4 linked regions of the Arabidopsis thaliana genome follow. The protein of the gene in region 3 interacts with the protein of the main gene of each other region in a biochemical or structural test. Each region holds a gene or a part of one and is shown on either strand. Other genes may lie near its edges.

Region 1 (5,765 bases), about 10 Mb from region 3:
ATGAACCCTAATTAGTATCTTCAAATCACAATAGATGCAGAAAATTCCACAAAAACTGAGTCCAAAATGATCCAGGACTCGAACAGAAACAGAGATTAACTTACAGCTTTCTCTCGAGTTCCTGGCTCAATGTGGAATCCACGACGCGATATTGATAAAGCATCACCCGTCTTCTTCAAAAATTTCGTAAGGGAAAAAATTGTCACAAAAATCAAACAAAATTCCAACAATAATCGATTAACAAGATTTGATCCAAACCTGTGAAGAAGACGAGCGTAAATGAGATGAAATTGAAGCGTTGTTGAGCAAAAACGCCATGCCCAGACGAGTATCGAAGATCGCTCACAGGGAAACAGCAAAACCTTTTCTTCTGGAATTGGAAAGAATTTTCGAGCTTTTCAACATGGGCTCTATACTCTAGAATTATTCCATTTTGACCCCAAAACTATTGTATGATAAATTATCACCCTGATTGTTTTTACTCACCCAAAATCTTCATACTCAGTCTAGTGTTCTTTGAATCTCAAACACAAAACTCTAGAAGATAATGTAAAATCTCAGTTGATTCAAATAATATTCATTTTATTCAGTTTCACATTACCTGACAAACCAAGAAAAACGTAGTTCTGCAAATCTGCAATTTGGTACTAATCACAGAGATTATAAAAGACCCTGTTTTTTAAGCTTTCAACAAAAATGAAGCTGTCCTAAAACATATATTCACATCTTTAACACAAAGATGGAGACAACCAGAAGAAGAAGAAGAAAGAAAACACTTTTGAACGCCTCTGGATCATCAGAAACCCAAGCTTTCCCCGAGTATATATATACACGAATCTGTCCAGGGCGCGGCGCAGCGAGTCGTTTTGTTCTTTTGTGTACTAAACTCATTTTATATTTTTCCTAACTTGACATACTTGAAAACAGAGAGCCATCTCGAGACACTGAAAAGCTTTGTCCATCTTTTGCTGTGAGCCTTACCACCGACCGAAGCATTCTTCTGTGACATGAAATCGTCAAGCGCACTCTGCAACTCAGATTGCGGTTCTTCTAAGCCTAGAATGTGAGAGCAGTTCCAGAGATTGTCGTAGTCTTCATATAAACCATGTGGAGTAACTTCCATGTCAACATCATCACTGTGCTTGCCACTACATTCTGCTGTGTTGTGAAGACTTGACACAAAACCGTATCCGTCCAAACTGGTCAAACTCAGACCCGAATAATCAATCCCGGCAACACTGCCTTGAGAAGCCGGGGCATTGAGAACGTTCCTCATCATGGAAACCTCATCATCATACGAGATTACTTCATTTAGGTGACTCAATGCATCAATTACCATCACCTCCGCTTGAGCCTGAAATCAGAAAATTTATGTAAACCTGAGAGTATGTAGAAGAGAAACCAAGTCAAATATGTAGACAGAGAGGATCAGTGCCTTTTCAATCTCTGATAACTTTTCAGCAGGAATATACTGAAAATCCACGAGCAGTCCAAGCACTTGAGCTACGACGTTGAAGACAACAGCTGTTTTCTTCTGAAATCCAGGAGCTTGGTACACATGGACGCTACTATCTAGAACACATGATCGAGCATGGTCCAAAGTAATTTCCCACATCTTTGAAGACATACCCGTACCAAGAACCTGCAAGGAACATCAATCATCATTACATGTAGACAAGTTAAAACTGTGTATTTCTCACCAGGTGAGAATCAATCACAAACCATTATTACTGGTGACACAAAAGATTCACGCCCACCACAGAAGCCTTAGTCACATAGGCACAGAGTAAGGAAGACGAATCTTACTTGTCGGAGTTTTGAAGAGTTTAAATGGAAATGTGTTAAGAAATCCTTGACAGTGTTTATATTTGACAAATTCAGTCGTCTGTGAAATGCTCCATCTTTCCCTATCTTTTCCAATCTCCATACTTCATCGAAAAGAGAAGGAGGATGATGCTTTTTGTACACTACAAATAAGAGAGAAAGAGTCATAAGAAAGAAACAACTTCTTTTAATTTACAGAAAATATGAGAACAGGAAAGTAAATTGGTTCAATGATACTCAATGTGAGAGAATAAACTAACAAGCAATACTTACACTCTCCTCGATGATCTCTTACGACAAAGGACTCTGTTATTGCCTCTCTAATTTTGACATAATCAAACTGATCCACTATTCGTACCCCGAGTCTGAACTTCCTGCTCCTAGTCCAGCTAGAGTTATCTGTAAATGAGATTTCATCCATAACACCAATGCCATCATTAAGAACCGCAAATACATTCCCATTGAGTAGAGGTTTCTTTCCTTCTCTCTCTCTTACAATGTTATTCCTGATATCCTCATCAGTCCAATCACTAACACTGTTAAAATCACCCTCAACGACAAAAACTTCGAGTTTGGCGGATGATGCAGGACCAGAAGAGAAAATTTGGCCAGTTGAAGGGTCTATTAATCCAACTCTTATAGCTTGGCCTTCATCTCCTTCTATCCGAGCTGAAGTAAACACGGGAAGCGATAGATTGTTCAAGAACTTTAACTGTAGATTCCTTGATTCCAAAGGATGAGTCTCTTTCTCACAAATCCTGAACAAAGATGAACATGGGAAGAAATTATTTATTACAGAACAGCCTGAAAAATCTAATGTTGATCTTGAAAAATAGTTTTACCACTTGATGCCTGCTAGATGCTTTCCAAGAGCTAATTCAACTTCTTCTTTGACCTGTTCCAAGGGATACTCATAAATTACTGCTAAAATAAACACACAATACTAGGAGAGAAGGGTACTATATTATATCAACGAGATACGTACCACTTTACGAATTAAGGGCTCGAGAACAGGTTCGAGAAAATGTTTGACGGTTTGTAATCTCATTACCTCCTGAACCACACTAAATTTTGATCCAAAGTCATATGTAGGAATTCTCATTAACACTAAAAATCAATTTAGAAAATCTGAACTTCATAAACATTGTTGATTTGTCAACAGTAAGTGACTGGGAAAAACAAATAAAGCTTCTTATTAAGGAATCCAACCATGGTGACTACGTGGTGTCATACTATCTAGTATGAGTACTTTTGTGTGTCAATAGAATTTTATCTTCCCAAGAAGTATCACTCTTTGATTATAAACAAAACTAAACCTTTTTATTAATTCCACGACAAGACAGTGATCATCTAAAGAACTCCGCAAGCTATAGAAAATCGTGTCAAAACCTAATCATAGAAGCTCAATTTTATCCTAACGAAACGATCACTTCACTATTTATACTTGTTCCAACATATAGATCACAACTTTTAGACTCGAATTCATCCTTATTAGCTAATACATAAACCCAATTGAATGAATCGAACTATCGAAGACTGATTCAAGCTACAACAACATCGTAAACCCTAGAAGCTGAAACAAAATTTATACCTTTTGAATCTTCTACGCTTGTCTTCGGATGAGCCGCCCTCAATTCGACCTTTCCCTTCTTCAAACTCTCTCTTCTGTGACATGATACCACAAGACCCGTTGAAATTCCCAGAGAATTTCAACCATTTACAGAATATTTTTTATGCGTTTTTTTGGAGTTTTTGTACAACAAGAACCGAAATTTCCGGGAAAGAGATATATATACACAATAACGAGTAACGGAATTATCGTAAAATGAATCTGATCTTCAAAACAAACAAAGACCCGTATCTTGGAGTTATCTGTAGCTTAACGCTTCCCCACCAGTTCTTTCTTTCAAAGGCTCTGTCGTACGACTTGAACAAAAGAGAAGGGATTTGCAAGTTCTTCTTTGTGGTAATTAGCAGATAGAGACAGAACACGGAGAAGAATGGTGTTTCTTTCTCAGTGTTGGGTGTTGTGGGACCCACCGAAACCGCGTTAGTGACGAGGAACCCCTAATTTATATGTTGTGTGTGCTTCTTCTTCTAACTACTAAAACAGAGACAAGTTTAGACCGTACCTAAATCTTTTTTCAAGTACATTTATCAAATTTCAAAGTTTAGAACATAGCTTCCGAATACTGAGAACTGAGAAGCATTGCTTGGTCTGAGCATTATGGGTATAGGGTGTTGGATAATAGCGGATAAGGGACTAAAGATCAACTAGTTTCATCTAACAAGCCATAGATGTTCAATCTTGTCTTAAAGAAATCATCACTTCACTACTAGTTCTCTTGTTTATAAATAAAACCAACTGATTGAATCCACAACATCATGAAACAAAATTATACAATTAAGAATAATATTTATTTATCTTGAGTTAGCAGAAAACGTACTTAAACAATTAAATACATAGAAGAGGGTTTTTAAAAATAAAAATAAAAATAAGGGTTTTTTATTTTCTTAAAGCTATTTTCATTTTATCCTTAAAGAATTTTGGTTTTTATTCATTCGAATTTTAAATAAAAACAAAAATTTTTTAACTCTTACCTATTATTAGGGCTGTTTGACGAAATCATCAAGCATGCGGAAACAGCAATCATCCATAATTCACCCTTGTTCTTCTTGTCACATGGATATGAATCAAGTAGCTTGGTCACAAAAGAACCTTGTGGATAACAATAACTTATGCCCCAGCCATACGGTCTTGTCTTATGATATTGTTCTTCCAATTGGGTCGACAAACGAAAAAAAACATTTCGATGTTTGATGTGATAATTATTCTGTGCCAACTAACAGATATGATATGTTTTTCAGTTTTGACTACTATTTTTGTTTTAACCACACATAGAACTCGGTTTTTAAGCTTTATCTACTGATAAATCATATTGAAAGCGTCTGCAAAATGCGATTTAATAATTATGTGACATATACACAAACGCTTCTTCTACACCAATTAATTATACACATCTTAAACAAAGATGCTGACATACTCGTTTTCCAGTACCAACACAAATCATACACATAAACGCGTGATTTGAAGAATGGGTAAAAGAAAATGAGTTTGTCTCAAGTTCTTTTATATTTAAATCGTACACACTAACCCTCTCTCCACTAAACATTTTAAAATAGTTGAGTTTTCACAAACACGTAAATCATTATTCAAAAACAAACTTCAAAGAGATTCTCTGAATCAGTATACAGTGTTGCACTTGGGAAATATATGTGAATACGTGATCGTTGATCTACGTACGATGTTATAAACTATATATAACCAATCTTCGCTTAAGCAGTTTTGTCTTAAAGAAGTTTCAAGCTGATATTTGGCTATTCATTAATTGTACAAATTGAATTTTGGCTGTTTATTAATCGAAAATCCACAATCATATGAACAATACTACTACTTATAAAGATGAAAGAATTCTAGAAATTTATATTCCCAAAATCATCAAAAATTTATAGCCCATGAGACCAATACTTGGGCTGGGCAAGAATATGAAGAAGTGCTCAGTTATGTGAGACCTATGAATCTATGATCAATTCAAATATTTACAATATCTAGAAAAAACATACAAAATCTTCTTTTTTAGTATTTTGCCTGCCTCTTGCCTGCATTTAATTTGACAATAAAACAGGATTGGTTACTTAAAATTTAGTTATTGGATCTCATAGTATCACACGGAATGTTTTTGTAGTAGAATAATTCAGAGTTTTGTCCTCTGACATCTTCACACGAACTGTCTGACTTCTTAATTCTCTCCATCACACGCTCGTTTTCATCCACGCATCTCTCTAATTTGCAATAAGTCAATTCAACTAATAAATCACATCAAGCTGAAAATACATCTCTTTACAACCGATTGACATTTCGCTTTACTCATCAAGTGAAA
Region 2 (4,923 bases), on a different chromosome or scaffold from region 3:
AGTGGGAAGCGGGTTGCACCGAACCAAGCCCATGTAGCTAAACACTCACACGCGCGACGCATGTCTGAAAAGTGGTAATTGAATTTTGTTTAGAATGATTCTACAGAGGTTGAATTTGGTAAATGAATCAGAGGAATATTAAGCATTTGAGCATAATTTCCAATTTGGTCAGATTATGATATATGTAAATATGTCCATGATTCATTTTCTGTTTTTGGGTTCTCTTTGTTCATTTATTAAGTCATGGGCTGAAGTTTTCATATTTTAAGTCATGGGCTGAGTTCTCAAGGACTAAAACTGGTATTGATATTATGATCTGTTAAAAGCCAATTCATTTAAGGTGTTCAAAATCTAAACTGAATAATTGCGTTAAATTAAGCCGGACATGTTTCAATCAAAAGTCAATAGAATGTGTCAAAATACTCTGGGTACTTGGGTAGTATTAGTAACATTAACTTACAAGGATTTTTCTCTATATAAAAATACAGAGTACTAGTTTTGATTTTATCTGAGTGAGAACTTTCTAATAAAACTCTAATCGAAAACAATTAATATTTTGTATAAAATGGAGTGTAGAACCTAAATATTTTGTATTGCTTGGATATATAGTTTTTTTTCTTCTTAACATGGATATATAAGTTCTATTTCGTACATATTTCCCCTAATTTTAATGTTGAATTTTGGAAAACTTTTGTTGGATAGTGACATGAAGACCCTAATTTTAATCATAACATTTTGGAAAACTTGATTGGGTGAGTGATATGGAGGTGATGTTAACGTATGTTTGGTATCAATAGTTGGTCCAATTAGGCCCAAAGAGTCAAAAAAGGTGCCCAAGTGTTGTCAAAAGAGAAAACAATTAAGAATAGGGCAAAGCTTGGCCAGCAAGATTTAGTGGTCATTTCCTAGAAACGTGTCCAAGAATTTATAAAGATGGGTTGTCTTATAAATACATATCGTTCACGTAATTACCTGAGATCAAATCTTAATCATATCATTCATCGTATATAGACTCCAAACACGTTTTTCAAACTCCTATGATCATGTGTTCTCTCTTTGCCTCCGTCTTTGATTGCTTTGTTCCAAAATCAGACTCAAAGATTAGCTCAACTGATGAGAGTGACTTGAAAGTCCTGTCCTCAAAGAAACCAAAAAGCAAATCCCCGAGAGCTCCGATTATGGTGTCTTACTTTCCCGCCGGTTCAAACCTTTCGCGTCTATAAGTGCCAAATAGAAGAGAAGAGAAGATGAAGTATTGGGATGTTGATTTTGATATAAACGAAAGAAGTTTTTGGTTGTAGACATGTTGTATGCGCAGGCTTTAATTTTATGTTTTATTTAATTATGTACAAATAGACCATTTAGATTGATAGCATCATATATATGCTTTGTATTTAAGACCAAATAAAAGATTAATGTTTATATACATGCGTAAAAATGTTAAGAGCTTAGTTAGTATCATTTTCAAAAACTGATTGTCACTTGAGCTTTTATTTTTCTTATTTTTTTAATTAAGAAAAGTTGTGGCCCTCAAAAAGTTACATGGAATCGGAACAGGAAAAAAAAAATGTCGAAAACTGATTAATCTAGGCAACGTTATCGCATTTTCATATCTTACAAATCCCTTTTTCAATTCAGATTTGGTAGAAATGCAAGGAGAGTTCCATAGTGTATATGTAAAATTTGTATAAAACGTCTAGAAGAATTACAATGCTGAATTTGTTGGAAGCTCTGTTTTTCTCTGCTTAGACGTTTCCAACGTGTTTTGGGTTTCTCTGATCACTGTAAAGCCTAAACCACAAGAGAAGAAAAACCACGAAGCTTTGGGCTTTAAGGCCTTTTTGGGCCCTAGCCACAATAATGGAAGCCTATCAAGAAAAGACAAGACAAGACAATAAGACAGAAGAGGACAAGTGTTTAAAGTGGAAGTTATCTTTCTCACGTGGTCTAAAGAAAGGTTAAAAAAAAAGAGGGAAAAAAAAAAGAAGATGAGAGAAAGCAAAGTGTTGAAGACTTTTTAGAAAGCAGAAAAAAAAGCAGAGAGTGTATTCAAAGTCGGAAAGAAACCCTAAAGAAGAGGATTATGGGTGCTGTATCGATGGAGTCGCTTCCTTTAGGTTTCAGATTCAGACCTACCGATGAAGAGCTCGTCAATCACTACCTCCGTCTCAAGATCAACGGACGTCACTCCGATGTCCGTGTCATCCCTGATATCGATGTCTGCAAATGGGAACCTTGGGATCTTCCTGGTTCGTCTCTTTATTCTCTCAAAATTTGATTCCTTTTATTCTCAGATTCTGTTTTCCCTCTCAAAGATTCCACCTTTTTTTTCTTTACTCAATTGGAAACAAATCTGATTGTCGGCAGCTCTCTCGGTGATTAAGACGGATGATCCAGAGTGGTTCTTTTTCTGCCCTCGTGATCGGAAATACCCTAATGGTCATCGCTCTAACAGAGCAACTGACTCTGGCTATTGGAAAGCTACTGGTAAAGATCGTAGCATCAAGTCTAAGAAGACTTTAATCGGTATGAAGAAGACTCTTGTCTTCTATCGTGGACGAGCTCCTAAAGGTGAGCGGACTAATTGGATTATGCACGAGTATCGTCCCACTCTTAAGGATCTTGATGGCACTTCCCCTGGCCAAAGCCCTTACGTTCTTTGTCGCCTCTTCCACAAGCCTGATGATCGGGTTAATGGTGTCAAGTCCGATGAAGCAGCTTTTACGGCCAGCAACAAATACTCACCTGATGATACATCATCTGATCTTGTTCAAGAAACACCTTCCTCTGATGCTGCTGTTGAGAAACCATCAGATTATTCAGGTGGATGCGGTTATGCTCATAGTAATAGTACCGCAGATGGGACAATGATTGAGGTATGAATGGAAACTCTTGAATAATTAATTAGGCTTTTTTGAGTGACTTGACTAATTTTGAGTTTTGTGTTCATAGGCACCTGAAGAGAATCTTTGGTTATCTTGTGACCTTGAAGATCAAAAGGCACCACTACCGTGTATGGATTCTATATATGCTGGTGATTTCAGTTACGATGAGATTGGATTCCAATTTCAAGATGGTACCAGCGAACCAGATGTATCACTAACAGAATTGTTGGAGGAGGTGTTCAATAACCCTGATGACTTCTCTTGCGAGGAATCGATCAGTCGAGAGAATCCAGCAGTCTCACCAAATGGGATATTTTCATCTGCTAAAATGCTGCAGTCTGCAGCACCAGAGGATGCTTTCTTCAACGACTTCATGGCTTTCACTGATACAGATGCTGAGATGGCGCAATTGCAGGTGAGCACAAAGATACATATTTTGAGGCCTATACAATTTTAGAAGTATCCAAATTATTTTGCTTTAAGTAGGCTAGAAACCTCTAGATCAGTTATCTTTACAATCACTCTTGACATAAGTAAAATGACAATTTTTATCTTTTGTTTGATCAGTATGGTTCAGAAGGTGGAGCTTCTGGTTGGCCAAGTGACACTAATTCATACTATAGTGATTTGGTTCAGCAAGAGCAAATGATCAATCATAACACAGAGAACAACCTCACAGAAGGGAGAGGGATAAAGATCCGGGCTCGACAGCCTCAGAACCGGCAGAGTACAGGATTGATAAACCAGGGTATTGCTCCAAGGAGAATCCGTCTGCAGCTGCAGTCTAACTCTGAAGTAAAAGAACGAGAGGAGGTGAATGAAGGACACACTGTTATTCCCGAGGTACGAGACTAGTGATTCCAAAAGTTGTGTCTTAGACATCAATAACATAAAGGATGCATCTTTTTAATTTGTTGTTAATGGTGGGGATGTGCAGGCCAAAGAAGCTGCAGCTAAATACTCAGAGAAGAGTGGTTCTTTGGTTAAACCTCAAATAAAGCTCAGGGCGCGGGGAACTATAGGCCAAGTAAAAGGAGAGAGATTTGCAGACGACGAGGTAAGAATGAGTGAACTTGTTTACACATGAATGAAGAAAGAGTATAGTAGTAAGCTCTACTAAATACTATAGAATTAGAAAGAAAAAAAAGAGAAAGCAATCAGTAGAGCATGTGAGATCAGCTAGTAATGATAAAAGAAACTGAGAAGTATCTTTGTCTAAAGAGAAGTTTGTTGTGGTTACAGGTACAGGTGCAGAGCAGAAAGAGACGAGGAGGGAAGCGATGGAAGGTGGTTGCAACGGTAATGGTGGCTGTGATGGTTGGGGTAGGGATGGGTATATGGAGGACACTGGTGAGTTCATGACACATGAGACACAAAGAGAGAGAGAGAGAGAATCAAATGTAGTTTAATGTAATTAGGGATGATGCAATGTTAGCATGTTTGTGTGTTGTAACTTAAAAACTTATTTAGGAATCTGATAAAAGTTACTGTTGAATTTACACGGATGGTCAAGATTAAATGTACCAACATCTTAATTATCTACGGTCAAGATTAAAAATACCAACATCTTAAATTAACACCGCATCAAAGAATTATCTCAATCGTCGTCTCTCCCCAATTCAAAAAAAGAAATAACCTAAACGTGTTCACACAGAGGTAAGCTCGCTCCTACTCGCCGCCTCATCTGAGTCAACTCCGAGTCAGCTATTTTTCCCCACCGGATTCTCACTTTTGTTCCTCTCTGTGACAGATCTCGAGATGAAAGATAACCAAACGGAAGTTGAATCGAGGAGCACTGATGATAGGTATCTTTATATTTATCCGTAATCTCGATTCTTAGATTCAATTTGTTTCCGTAGTTTTGAAATCGTCTTTTATGATTCTCAGATTGAAAGTTAGAGGGAACAAAGTTGGAAAGAAAACAAAGGATCCAAACAGGCCTAAGAAACCACCAAGTCCTTTCTTCGTCTTCCTGTAAATAAAAATCACTAATCTCTCTTCTTCTTTTTTCTTCACTAATTTGATTACAGTAATTAAT
Region 3 (4,122 bases):
AATATAAATTTAAATAGATCGAATACTTAATTATATAGTCTAAGTATAAATAACAAGTTACTAAAAATATGAATGTATTGTTCAAAATCTTAATTTAAAACTTGTCTTGAAATTTACTACTTCACGACAATTTATGGTGGCCAATGGCATAATACCAACCTCGTGTTTTTACATGTGTCATTTTCCTATTAGTCCAACATCAATTTTCAACTTGGTATCCAAATAAATAATACACTAAAGCACTTTATACTAAAACTAATTGACAAAAGAAAAGCACTTTATACTTAAAACTAAATTTTCAGCGACCTCTGTTTGTCGTATGAAAATTAAAAGTTTGATTAGACACAAATTTGGAAGTGATTGCCCGCGAATCATTTTCTTTGTGGCTAACGTACACACGTATAGAGACGTACAGTTCAGACGAGTGGCTCAAATGATTAAAACAGTAAATCAGAAAGAGAACATTTTAATATAACTATAATTTTAACTAGTACTTAATTTTTTCAGCTTAAAGCCATATTTTTCATCTCTATTTCTTATCTTCTTCTTTTTTTGTAAAACCAAAAAAGCAACAAAATGTGGGTAAAAAGTAAAAACCCAACCCATCGGTTTCAATCCAACTTACTTGATTTTCCATTACACACAAAAGTCACAAACCAGAAAATCAAAAGAACGAAAAACAAATTATGTCTGTTTAAAAGCATATCTCCACCAATCATGCAAATGTTTTTGGTTAAACTCCTAGAAGCATAAAAAGGTCATCATCATCATCATCATCACCTTTATCAAATCACTTAGCCATCATAATCTTGACAAACTCTTCATAGTTAATCTGACCATCTCCATCAACATCAGCCTCACGGATCATCTCTTCCACTTCTTCATCAGTTAGCTTCTCACCAAGATTGGTCATCACATGGCGTAGCTCAGCAGCGGAGATGAAACCGTTCTGGTCTTTGTCGAAAACCCTGAAGGCTTCTTTTAGCTCTTCCTCGGAGTCAGTGTCTTTCATCTTCTTAGCCATCAGGTTCAGGAACTCGGGGAAGTCGATAGTGCCGTTTCCATCTGCATCAACCTCGTTGATCATGTCTTGGAGCTCAGCCTCTGTTGGGTTTTGTCCTAGTGAACGCATAACTGTTCCCAGCTCTTTTGTTGTGATGCAACCTGTGTAACCACAATTAAGAGAGCATTACATTTTAGAACCCATCACATATTATACTCAAATGCTCAATGGAAGCAATGATAAAGCAGTTTTGTCATGGGTAAAAGCAATGATAGATGCAAAAGCGAATGAACATCTTTTGCTTATCTCTTAAAGAGTGAACAAACAAATCTACACAAATTGAGCTACTATAAGCAGGATATAACCATGAGACAATTCAGGAGTAGTTTCCAAACAATTTGATAATCTTTTGAAATCAAATCCTAGATCAGAGAGAACAAACACTACATCAACTAGTATAACAAACAACTCAGAAATCAAGAGAAAATCTGAGCAACATGACCTTGAAACCTACCTAGAGAGATCAAGAAGAACCATCAAAGCTTCTAAAAGATTCGAAATCACATTTAAGCACATAGTTTTTTCCCATTCTTTGGTAGAATTGTTGAGAACACAAAAAAAAACTCAGATAATTAACAACTTCGAAGAAAAAAAGATAGCAGATTCTTTATCAACTAAGAGCAAACTCGAAAACACATACGACCAAAACAATCATGGAAGATGAAAAATCAAACAAAACGTAAGAGACGAAAAAATAAATCAGATCCAAGCTAGCAAATCAACGAAACAGGACAACAAGCAAGCTATTAAATCGATTCAATCATATACAAAAAGCCATCGAAGATCAAAAAGCGAAACTACTCGGTCAAAGATCAAAAACAGATCAAACGACAAGGTCAATACCTCCGAATCTAAAGAGATTAGCGACTAATAAACACATATTCAAAGCTCGGGAGGACGAGATACACCGTTCTAAATCATCGATAGAAGACGAAAATGGAAAAAAAACCGAGATCCAGTAATGTAACCATCAAAGGCGTAAAAGAAGAGGTAATCTAACCATCGCCATCTTTGTCGAAGAGGCTAAAAGCTTCCTTGAATTCGGAGATCTGTTCGTCAGTGAGTTGATCCGCCATAGCTTCTTCGAGAAATCGTCTTTCTTCTCTTCCTTTGTCTTTACTTAATGAGTTTTTTTTTTTTTTGGATTCAGAGTCGTCTCTCTTTGAAAATGATGCAAACAAATATCTAAGCAAAACGACAAAAAGAAGGAGAAAAGGTAAGTCGGAAAAATTCCAAACAAAAACCCAATTAATTTTTAATTTTTAGAAGAAAATACATATATTAATAAAAGTGTATAATTTAATACCAAAATAATTAAAATATTATTACTTTTATATTTACTACTTTAATAAACTATGAATTTTTCGTTGATATGACATTAATTTTATTTATTTTTTAAAAATTACTTTTAGTAATATTTTGTTTCTATATTATAAAAATTATTTTATTTTTAAAATTCACATAAATAAAATGAGCAAAAGAAATCTTAATAAATTTTGAAAAAGATAATGATATTGTGAACCGAAATATTAATAAAAAGTTAGCTGATGTTGATATACACAATGTAACTTAGTTGAGGTATAAAAACGTACCGTTGAGAGGTTGAACTTCACTTTTTTCCGGAAGATGAATATTCGGATTATTTTAACTACAACATAAACCACTTTCTACAAGCGCTCTCACGCCTTTGGCTCACACGATTGTTTTCTAACATCATTTGGCTCACGAAATATGCTTCACAAAGTTTACTTGTGATGATCCATCACAGCAGACAGCAGTCGAGCGTTAAGAGAAAGATTGCATGTCGTACATGTACATCATGTATTCATGTGTGAAAGATGCCAACAGTGGTCGAAACACAATTATCATCAGAAAAATATTACTCGAGCAACAATACTTTTCTATCTACGAGTATGTGCTGCTCACTCTCCATAATATGGAGCTAATATTGATCATAAGGCTTGAGCGAATCACCTATCACCAATACCTAAGATTAGGTGATAATCTTAATTAAGCTATTTGTCTTTGGGCCAGTTCTACACGTATTTGGGTCACTACAAAAGTTTGAATAGCTTGAAATCCTTAATACCATGGAAAATGAGGTTTCTTTTCTTCTTCGCACTACCATCTCTTCGGCATATCTAAAAGATACCTCGTAGGCTCGTATACAACTCTAAGACCAAATTTAATAAATTGTTGGACAAACCTTATTCTAATTTTTGGGTAACACGATTGGAATCAACAAAACCCTATTCTTGATTGTCGAAACTTACGTACTTAATTAATGTAAGAAAGAAAAAAAATATCCAAGTTCATATAGGTTACAAAGAAAATAAAAAAATTCCAACACAAATAAAAATTAAATTTTTAAAATTCATAATAAAAAAAATAAATTTCAAAACTAAAACTAGATAAAAATAAAACAAAACCAAGGAAGAGAGTAATAAGCTTAAAGAGACACAACACAATCCCAACGAGGAAGCTCTTGACAAGGTCAAAGGAACATTCCACCCATACATGAACACATGCTGACGGAGATCTCGAGCATATTTTATCTGCGAGAAGTAGATTCCGTCTTCCCTAGCTTCCCATACGTCTCCATGGTTAACACCAAAAACTTGGTGATGCTTGAAATTAGGTCCTTGCCATAAATGACACCAAAAATAGTCGGAATCATCATCAACTAGCAGATGGTACGATCCTGTTGGATGCAACCTATGGTATACCATATCATGGTTCGTGGATTTGCAATGGATTATGAGATCGTTTTTTTCATGAAGAAAGTTTCTGATCCACACGGAATGTTTGTACGATAAGGCTGTGTTACTCATCATGGTAAGACCAAAGGCGAAAACAAAAAGGAGAATCGATAGACGATTCATTGATATCATCTCTATATGTTGAACTAATGGTCGATCGATTTAATTTGAAGTGATAGAATGTTTAGAAGGTTTAGTTTGTTCTGTCTATATATAATGAAAATACTAGTCATAGTCCTGATAGGTTTAGGAAACACAAATTCAACAACAATAACAATTAGGACTTGAGCGATTGCAATT
Region 4 (6,465 bases), 9.3 Mb from region 3:
GAGTTTTAAGTTTTTCTTTCTTAATAAAGATATCAGTGCTTTTTATTTATTAAATTTTGTGCATTGTTATTTGTTATCATGCTTACATTTACGCAATTTGGTACAGATCTCATACCACATAAGAAAAAGAAAAGAAAACTTAGAATAAAATTAAAATTAGTTTGTTATATTTTAAAAAATTTACATTTTAGAATACATGTCTATCTATTTACAAGATGGCTATAGCTTTAGAGCAAATACGTTCCCAACCTACCTTGCCAGAGACGAGTGATATCGTGATCTCGATTTATGCGACCTTTACACGTTTGAGTTTACAATCCTAACAACATATTTATATGCAAAACAAACCTTACTAGTTAATCTTGCAAAATTATTTTCATTTTTTAATAATGAACTAATCCAAAATTTGGGATCATTCAGTAATCATTTCAACAACTATTACGTTAAACAACATTGCGCTATCCAAGGAGGTTCTACTAGATCTCTTAATCCTATGTATAATGGATGATGCACAAGGAACAAAAAAAAAAAAACAGATAAACGTATTTAAAAATACGGCAATAATAATAATATCAAAAGATATTACAAATCAAAGTCAAATGAAACTTGGTTCAGTAATAAAGGGAAATGAAACTTACTTCAGCAATAAAGGGAAATGAAACTTGGTTCAGCGATAAAGGGGAATGAAACATTCAAATATCCAAATCAATGCAATTATGCATTATTAATAAAAGTCTTCAAACATTTGAAGTAAATATATTTCGATTAGCAGATACCACTCGTCTTCTTCCTGTCGGCGACAAACTTCTTCCAGCCAGTGATGATATCTCTCTGCTTGTCGATATCGCTCTTCTTCACCGTGACCATCAAGTTATCGCTGTTAGATTCACTCTTCTCTTGTCCAAGTGATATTTTGTGAATCACTCTCGAAGGAAGCTCATCGAGCTCACGCATCACTTTCTCTATATCGATCACAAGTCTCTCAGCGAGTGTTCTCGAGAAATCTTCTCTGATAACCACACGAAGAACAGTGATGTGTTGTGCATTTGGAGGCATTGTGTAGGCCGGCACTATCCATCCATACCTACATATCAAATATTTATAGAGTAATTAATTACATATACATAGTCATTAAATATCTACTTATTTTATGAATCTTTAACCAAAGTTTAAATAAGAAAAGAGTATTTGAAATCTTTTTAGTTAAGACAACTAACTAACCTGCGAAGCATGTCGGAGATTTCGAACTCAGTGTGACAGCTGCTATCTTTCAAGGAGAAAGCGACAAGTGGCACTCCCTCGTCCTTTGAGACGATGTTGAACCTTTCTGTCTTCTCAAGTCCTTCCCTTAGGACGATCATATTCTCTCTGCAATTCTCCATCACATTTCTGTAACCCTGTTTGATACATTTTTATTGTTAAAGTAATGTCTAATTAATTAGCTTGATTAATAAATTTATATAATCGTGGACTGACTTACCTCGTGGCCCAATCGGATAAGTTGGTAGTATTGAGCAATGACTTGACTTGAACCTGCGTTTATTGACAGAAGACTTTTTGAATACGACAACGTTTAATTATGTTTTCCCCAATTTTAATATGGAAACAAATTTGACCTCCCATCCCTTTGATTTTATAATTTACTACCGATTTCTTAAACTAAAGTCAAACAAATTGGAAAAAACAAAAAGTGGAAATAATTTACGTGAAGTTTCCCACAATTGCTTAATCTAATCATAGTGATTGATCAATTACTACACTACTACGAATTAAAAAACGGTGTCGTTTCCGTATTTTAAAATGGAAAGCAATTTGATCTCCATCACTTTGATGGTTAGACTACTTTAGATCATGACTAATAATGAAAAGTCGAACACAAAAGATTAAGACAAGCTACAAAGAAAAATAATAATTAAAAAAATATTAGTTACCTTTGGAGAAATTGAGAGTAAAGGTGGGTTGGTCAGCACCAAGATAATTGATATGGAAGATGAGTTCCTCAGGCAAATCCTCTTTGTTTCTCCAGATCACCCAACCAATCCCTGCGTACACAAGTCCATACTTGTGACCACTCACATTGATACTCTTCACCAAGGGAAGTCTAAAGTCCCATTCCAATTCCGGATACAAAAACGGTGCAATGAATCCTCCACTTGCCGCATCCACGTGGATTGGTGTATCCCATCTATCAAAAACATGCATAGTTGTTTTAATTAACTTAAATATTCTTTATCGTATAGTGTAATCATGTAGACAATCCATTAAGTAATTACCCGGTTTCTTTGTTCTTTTCGACCAAGAGATCGTTCAAGAGTTTAACATCTTCGAATTCTCCATTAAGAGTGGAACCAAGAATGGCCGCAACACAAATGGTGTTCTCATCAACCATATCAACAGCTTGTTGAGGGTCCATCACATAGTATCCTTCACTCAATTTCACTTCCTTAAGTTCAACCTCAAAGTACCTAGCGAATTTCTCCCAACACACCTAAACATTTGAATCGTTATAAGAAAATTGATCAAAAAGATTATGTTTAGTAAGCATCTTTTATTTAGAAAACGTTACTTGAACATTGGCTCCGGTGACAATGTTGGGTTTATCGACGGGTTTGCCTTCAGCTTTGCGCTTGTTCTGCCATTTACGCTTGAAGGCCAAACCGGCCAACATTATGGCCTCCGATGATCCAACGGTTCCTACTCCGACGGCGGTCTCCGCCTCTTCTAACGGTGCATTGAATAGATGTGCAATCATGTTCACACATCGGTTCTGTTTTTTAATATTAAAACAAAAAGAATAAATTAGTGAAACCCACTTGACTAATCATTTTCTGACATCGAGATTGATGCTTAATACAATATTCTTAGTGGACAATAAACAATGTGACAGATGTGAAAGCAAAACTAAGATTAATGCACACACTAAGTCGTGGAGATAAGTCCTATTGTCATAAGACTCATAAACAATACTATTCTATAATCCAACATGGTATCATGTTTTAGCTTTTGATGTAAATAATTACGATCAGATACTAGTTGGCAAAAAAAAAAAATATGCTAGAAAATTAGGTCATTTTTTAAGTTTTTAATTTGAAACACGAGAAATCTAATAATTTCAAACCATAACCGATATTTCATATTGTCTTCCTTTTATTTCCGTTATGGCCCAATAAAAATATATCATTAGTTAAAAGTATCTAGCTATCAATTCGCATATTAGTACTGTAGGACCAATTATTAAGATTAAAGGAAGTCCTCACAAAATAACTCAACTACAATGGATGGTATTTGCGGAAATAAGGTAGTACAAATATTCCCCCTAATTACTATAGCATAGTCCATATTATCCTAAATTTGATCAACACAGTCACACACCATTGAAAAAGTCAACATAGTAGGTGTCCATTTAAATACGCATGGAAATCAGATTCCATGATAAAGCATCTTATTAATGAATGATTCAAACTAATAACAGTATCAAATATTTTTAAGAAACTAAGTTTTTTTTTTTTGTTAATAAGAACCTTTTTTTTTGTGCAAATTATTGACAACCTTAAGACTTTAAAAAGACCCTCATAAGTCACCGGCTAGTATTTCCGAGATCCAACCTCCCCCAAAAACAAACTGTACTACGTAAACGGAAATAAAGTAGTATTAAATTATACCCTCTAATACTATATTATTCAAAATCACCCAAAGTCGATTACCCGATCAACACAACCATACAAGAAAATCAACAACGTTGGCATACATATATATATATATATATATATATATATATATATATATATATATATATATATACTTATACACATAGAAAAAGATTAAAAGAAAAGTTTTCTTTTTGAATAACAAAGCATCTTAATTATGAATCATACTGATTAATAATGGTCTATAATCTCGATCCAGAATATGAATGGCCGGGTCATTCAAACATTTGAGTTTATCATAACTCGACCACATTCTATCACAAAGTCGTTTGGAAAAAAACAATCTAAAGATTCTATAAACATTTTTCTCCATACATAAGCCGATATATATAGTTATGATTAAATCTCGTTTTCAAAAAGTCATGACTTAGAACTATATATACCTGAAGTTCGGTGGTGACGGGGTACTCGTCCATGTCAACATAGTTCTTGTTGATGGAGGACATGATGAGTTTATCACACTCAGGCTCCATCCATGTCGTCACAAAGGAGGCTAAGTTCAACCGTGGATTCCCGTCAAGCATCAGCTCGTCGTTGATGATCTGATACGCCGCTTCCTTAGGAATCGAGTTTTCCGGCATCTTGAACCTGATATCTACGTTTTTAGCCCTCCATTTTTATCGAAAATATAGAAGTATAATGTGATCAAGATTGTGTTATATTTTTTGTACCTAGGAAGTGAAGTACGGACGTAACGTGATGCGAATGTGGAGTGGACGGAGACGTCCGACTCCGATACGGCGTGGGAGAGCACCATCACGGAGATGAGAGAGAGAGAATACCAGGAGATGATGATAAGAGAGAGAAAGTGAGATCGAGGAAAGTGATGTATGGGAATGGAGGATGATGAGAGACACCTTTATATGGGTTTTATATCAATAATCAATGATATTGAATGGTTTGCTTGGGGAATAATATAAAAGAATTTTCGGAAACTTCCTTTTTGTGAATATTTCTTCCCAAGCCCTAAACTTTGTTTGAATTAGAGAATAATGCCTCTAGTTTCGTTTTCAGTTTTAGACTTTGACCCAATATCTTTTTGAGAAGTGTTATTTCCAAGTTTTTTTTTTTTTTTTTTTTTTGGCAAACTTCCAAGTTTAGTTTATGTTTCAAACTCTGTATTAGATTCATAAAGGGTCATGAATCGTATGACAGCACATTGAAAACACGGTTTCTTTTTCTTCTTCTTGTTTTTGATATTCAACGATTTCTAAAAAAAGACTACACGGTGAAAGTATTCAATGGTAAGTAAAATAATGAATGGGATCCGAGGAAAAAAGAAGCTTTACATGAAATTTATATGCATTGAATTGAATATTGACTATGTGATGTGAATAAAAAAGACTTCTCAGAATTTTTTCTTACCTAAAATTTCTTATAAGGCCAAATGTTTGTTTAAATTAGCGGAATATCTAGTTTTTTCTTCATACATTAGACCAAATGTTTTTAATTTGTTAATTTACACCAAATGTTTGCAAATTTTTTCAATGTTAGAAGTCATAATGTATAGGGAAGGTGGCTATTGTAGTCATAATGTAGTATGCGAATTTGTTTATCATATATTTTCGTAATTTACTACATCTTGCGTAGTGCAGAGTTGATGTTTGTAATAATATATTTTACTGACCTATTATATCCAACTAAGAACTAACTGCAATTGTTATTATGTATAGTCTCTATTATTGAGTCCTAATGCATCACATAATTTTCTAATTTTTCATCTTTAATTTTTTAAAAATCAAAGACTATATCGACATAATTAAAAAGTGCACTATTTTATATTCCATGATCTAAAAGCTTATAAACATGTATTCATATTGTAAATCGTGTGATGAAATGTATATTTATGTAGACATTAAAAAATATAGACATTTGAAATGAAGTTATATAAGATGTTAACTGTGACAAAAAAAAAGGTGAAGTTAAGATTAATCTAGTGTTAGAAGAAATCAAAATCATTTGAATGTGTTCTTTTTTTCTATTATATACTGGTCTACCTATATATGATGGCTAGCTATGACAAAAGAATTAATAAAATATGAATTTTAAAATAGTATGACATATATTCCATGTGCACCTAATCATACAAGAAAGAAAACATTATGATACTAAGAAAATTAAAATAAATATACTTAACATGTGACACAACTCAATATCAGAAGAATGATTTAGCATCGTTAATTTGAATATGTACAATAACTAGAACATAAATAGAATTCGTAGACACAACTTCATATTAAATTTTCTATTTTTTCCAAGATGTTAACAAAGTTACATATTATTCTATTTTATCATTTTTAATATACTTTATCTTGTAAAAATTGAAAACCTTTAAATAATTTTGTTATTTGTTATGACTACGTTTTGGAAACTTTTATTTTATTTTGATTTGTTATGACTATGTGGTTATATTCAATGAGTTATAATATATTATACTCCACAGTTTTGCTCAAATATCATAACATTAACAAATCAGGGTATCCTTTGGTTTATCTTTGACTTTTAGGTTTGTAAATGATAAATGACAAATGATATATAAAAAAGCCAAAGTTTTGTTTCATTTGCTTCTCTTTATTTGTTTATATATTTGTTTTCGAAATATTACATATAAAACATGATATCACATACAAACTCACATCATAGCTTGGTAATATCACATAAGCAAAAGGTAAAGGATTTCAAATTCTTCATATTTAATAGTTCATTAGCTTCCATCTCAATAAAATTAATTTGATTTCATATTCTGCTATTTCAAATG

Evidence for each region.
Region 1: the proteins of CAM1 (region 3) and AT5G62570 form a complex in vitro, tested with the Arabidopsis thaliana proteins (one study listed by BioGRID).
Region 2: the proteins of CAM1 (region 3) and NTL9 form a complex in vitro, tested with the Arabidopsis thaliana proteins (one study listed by BioGRID).
Region 4: the proteins of CAM1 (region 3) and GAD are reported together in a solved structure, tested with the Arabidopsis thaliana proteins (one study listed by BioGRID).

Annotation. Positions count from the first base shown.
Region 1 is NC_003076.8:25,112,095-25,117,859, reverse strand, and holds AT5G62570 (Calmodulin binding protein-like protein), read right to left. Parts: upstream 3,913-5,765; 5' UTR 3,896-3,912; coding exon of another isoform or gene 3,806-3,895; 5' UTR 3,791-3,805; coding exon of another isoform or gene 3,650-3,790; 5' UTR 3,499-3,649; coding exon 3,416-3,498; exon of another isoform or gene 2,927-3,415; coding exon of another isoform or gene 2,889-2,926; coding exon 2,810-2,888; intron 2,720-2,809; coding exon 2,667-2,719; intron 2,583-2,666; coding exon 2,098-2,582; intron 1,968-2,097; coding exon 1,807-1,967; coding exon of another isoform or gene 1,768-1,806; exon of another isoform or gene 1,723-1,767; intron 1,643-1,722; coding exon 1,436-1,642; coding exon of another isoform or gene 1,370-1,435; exon of another isoform or gene 1,355-1,369; coding exon 893-1,354; 3' UTR 546-892; downstream 1-545. Other genes in the region: SDH7 (succinate dehydrogenase subunit), read right to left, coding at 105-173, 259-318; AT5G62573 (uncharacterized protein), read left to right, coding at 3,650-3,790, 3,806-3,895. UniProt on the Arabidopsis thaliana protein: Transcription activator that binds DNA in a sequence-specific manner, likely 5'-GAAATTTTGG-3', to promote the expression of target genes.
Region 2 is NC_003075.7:16,887,905-16,892,827, reverse strand, and holds NTL9 (NAC transcription factor-like 9), read left to right. Parts: upstream 1-2,026; 5' UTR 2,027-2,083; coding exon 2,084-2,249; intron 2,250-2,367; coding exon 2,368-2,876; intron 2,877-2,952; coding exon 2,953-3,300; intron 3,301-3,452; coding exon 3,453-3,728; intron 3,729-3,822; coding exon 3,823-3,942; intron 3,943-4,108; coding exon 4,109-4,294; 3' UTR 4,295-4,423; downstream 4,424-4,923. Other genes in the region: HMGB5 (high mobility group B5), read left to right, coding at 4,644-4,690, 4,773-4,859. UniProt on the Arabidopsis thaliana protein: Transcriptional activator activated by proteolytic cleavage through regulated intramembrane proteolysis (RIP). Calmodulin-regulated transcriptional repressor. Binds several synthetic promoters with randomly selected binding sites.
Region 3 is NC_003076.8:15,003,979-15,008,100, forward strand, and holds CAM1 (calmodulin 1), read right to left. Parts: upstream 2,228-4,122; 5' UTR 2,140-2,227; coding exon 2,064-2,139; exon of another isoform or gene 1,952-2,063; coding exon of another isoform or gene 1,907-1,951; intron 1,447-1,906; coding exon 1,369-1,446; intron 1,165-1,368; coding exon 791-1,164; 3' UTR 549-790; downstream 1-548. UniProt on the Arabidopsis thaliana protein: Calmodulin mediates the control of a large number of enzymes, ion channels and other proteins by Ca(2+). Among the enzymes to be stimulated by the calmodulin-Ca(2+) complex are a number of protein kinases and phosphatases.
Region 4 is NC_003076.8:5,709,140-5,715,604, reverse strand, and holds GAD (glutamate decarboxylase), read right to left. Parts: upstream 4,696-6,465; 5' UTR 4,465-4,695; coding exon 4,379-4,464; intron 4,296-4,378; coding exon 4,091-4,295; intron 2,768-4,090; coding exon 2,567-2,767; intron 2,489-2,566; coding exon 2,274-2,488; intron 2,186-2,273; coding exon 1,932-2,185; intron 1,534-1,931; coding exon 1,481-1,533; intron 1,398-1,480; coding exon 1,222-1,397; intron 1,085-1,221; coding exon 766-1,084; 3' UTR 530-765; downstream 1-529. UniProt on the Arabidopsis thaliana protein: Catalyzes the conversion of glutamate to 4-aminobutanoate (GABA). The calmodulin-binding is calcium-dependent and it is proposed to directly or indirectly form a calcium regulated control of GABA biosynthesis.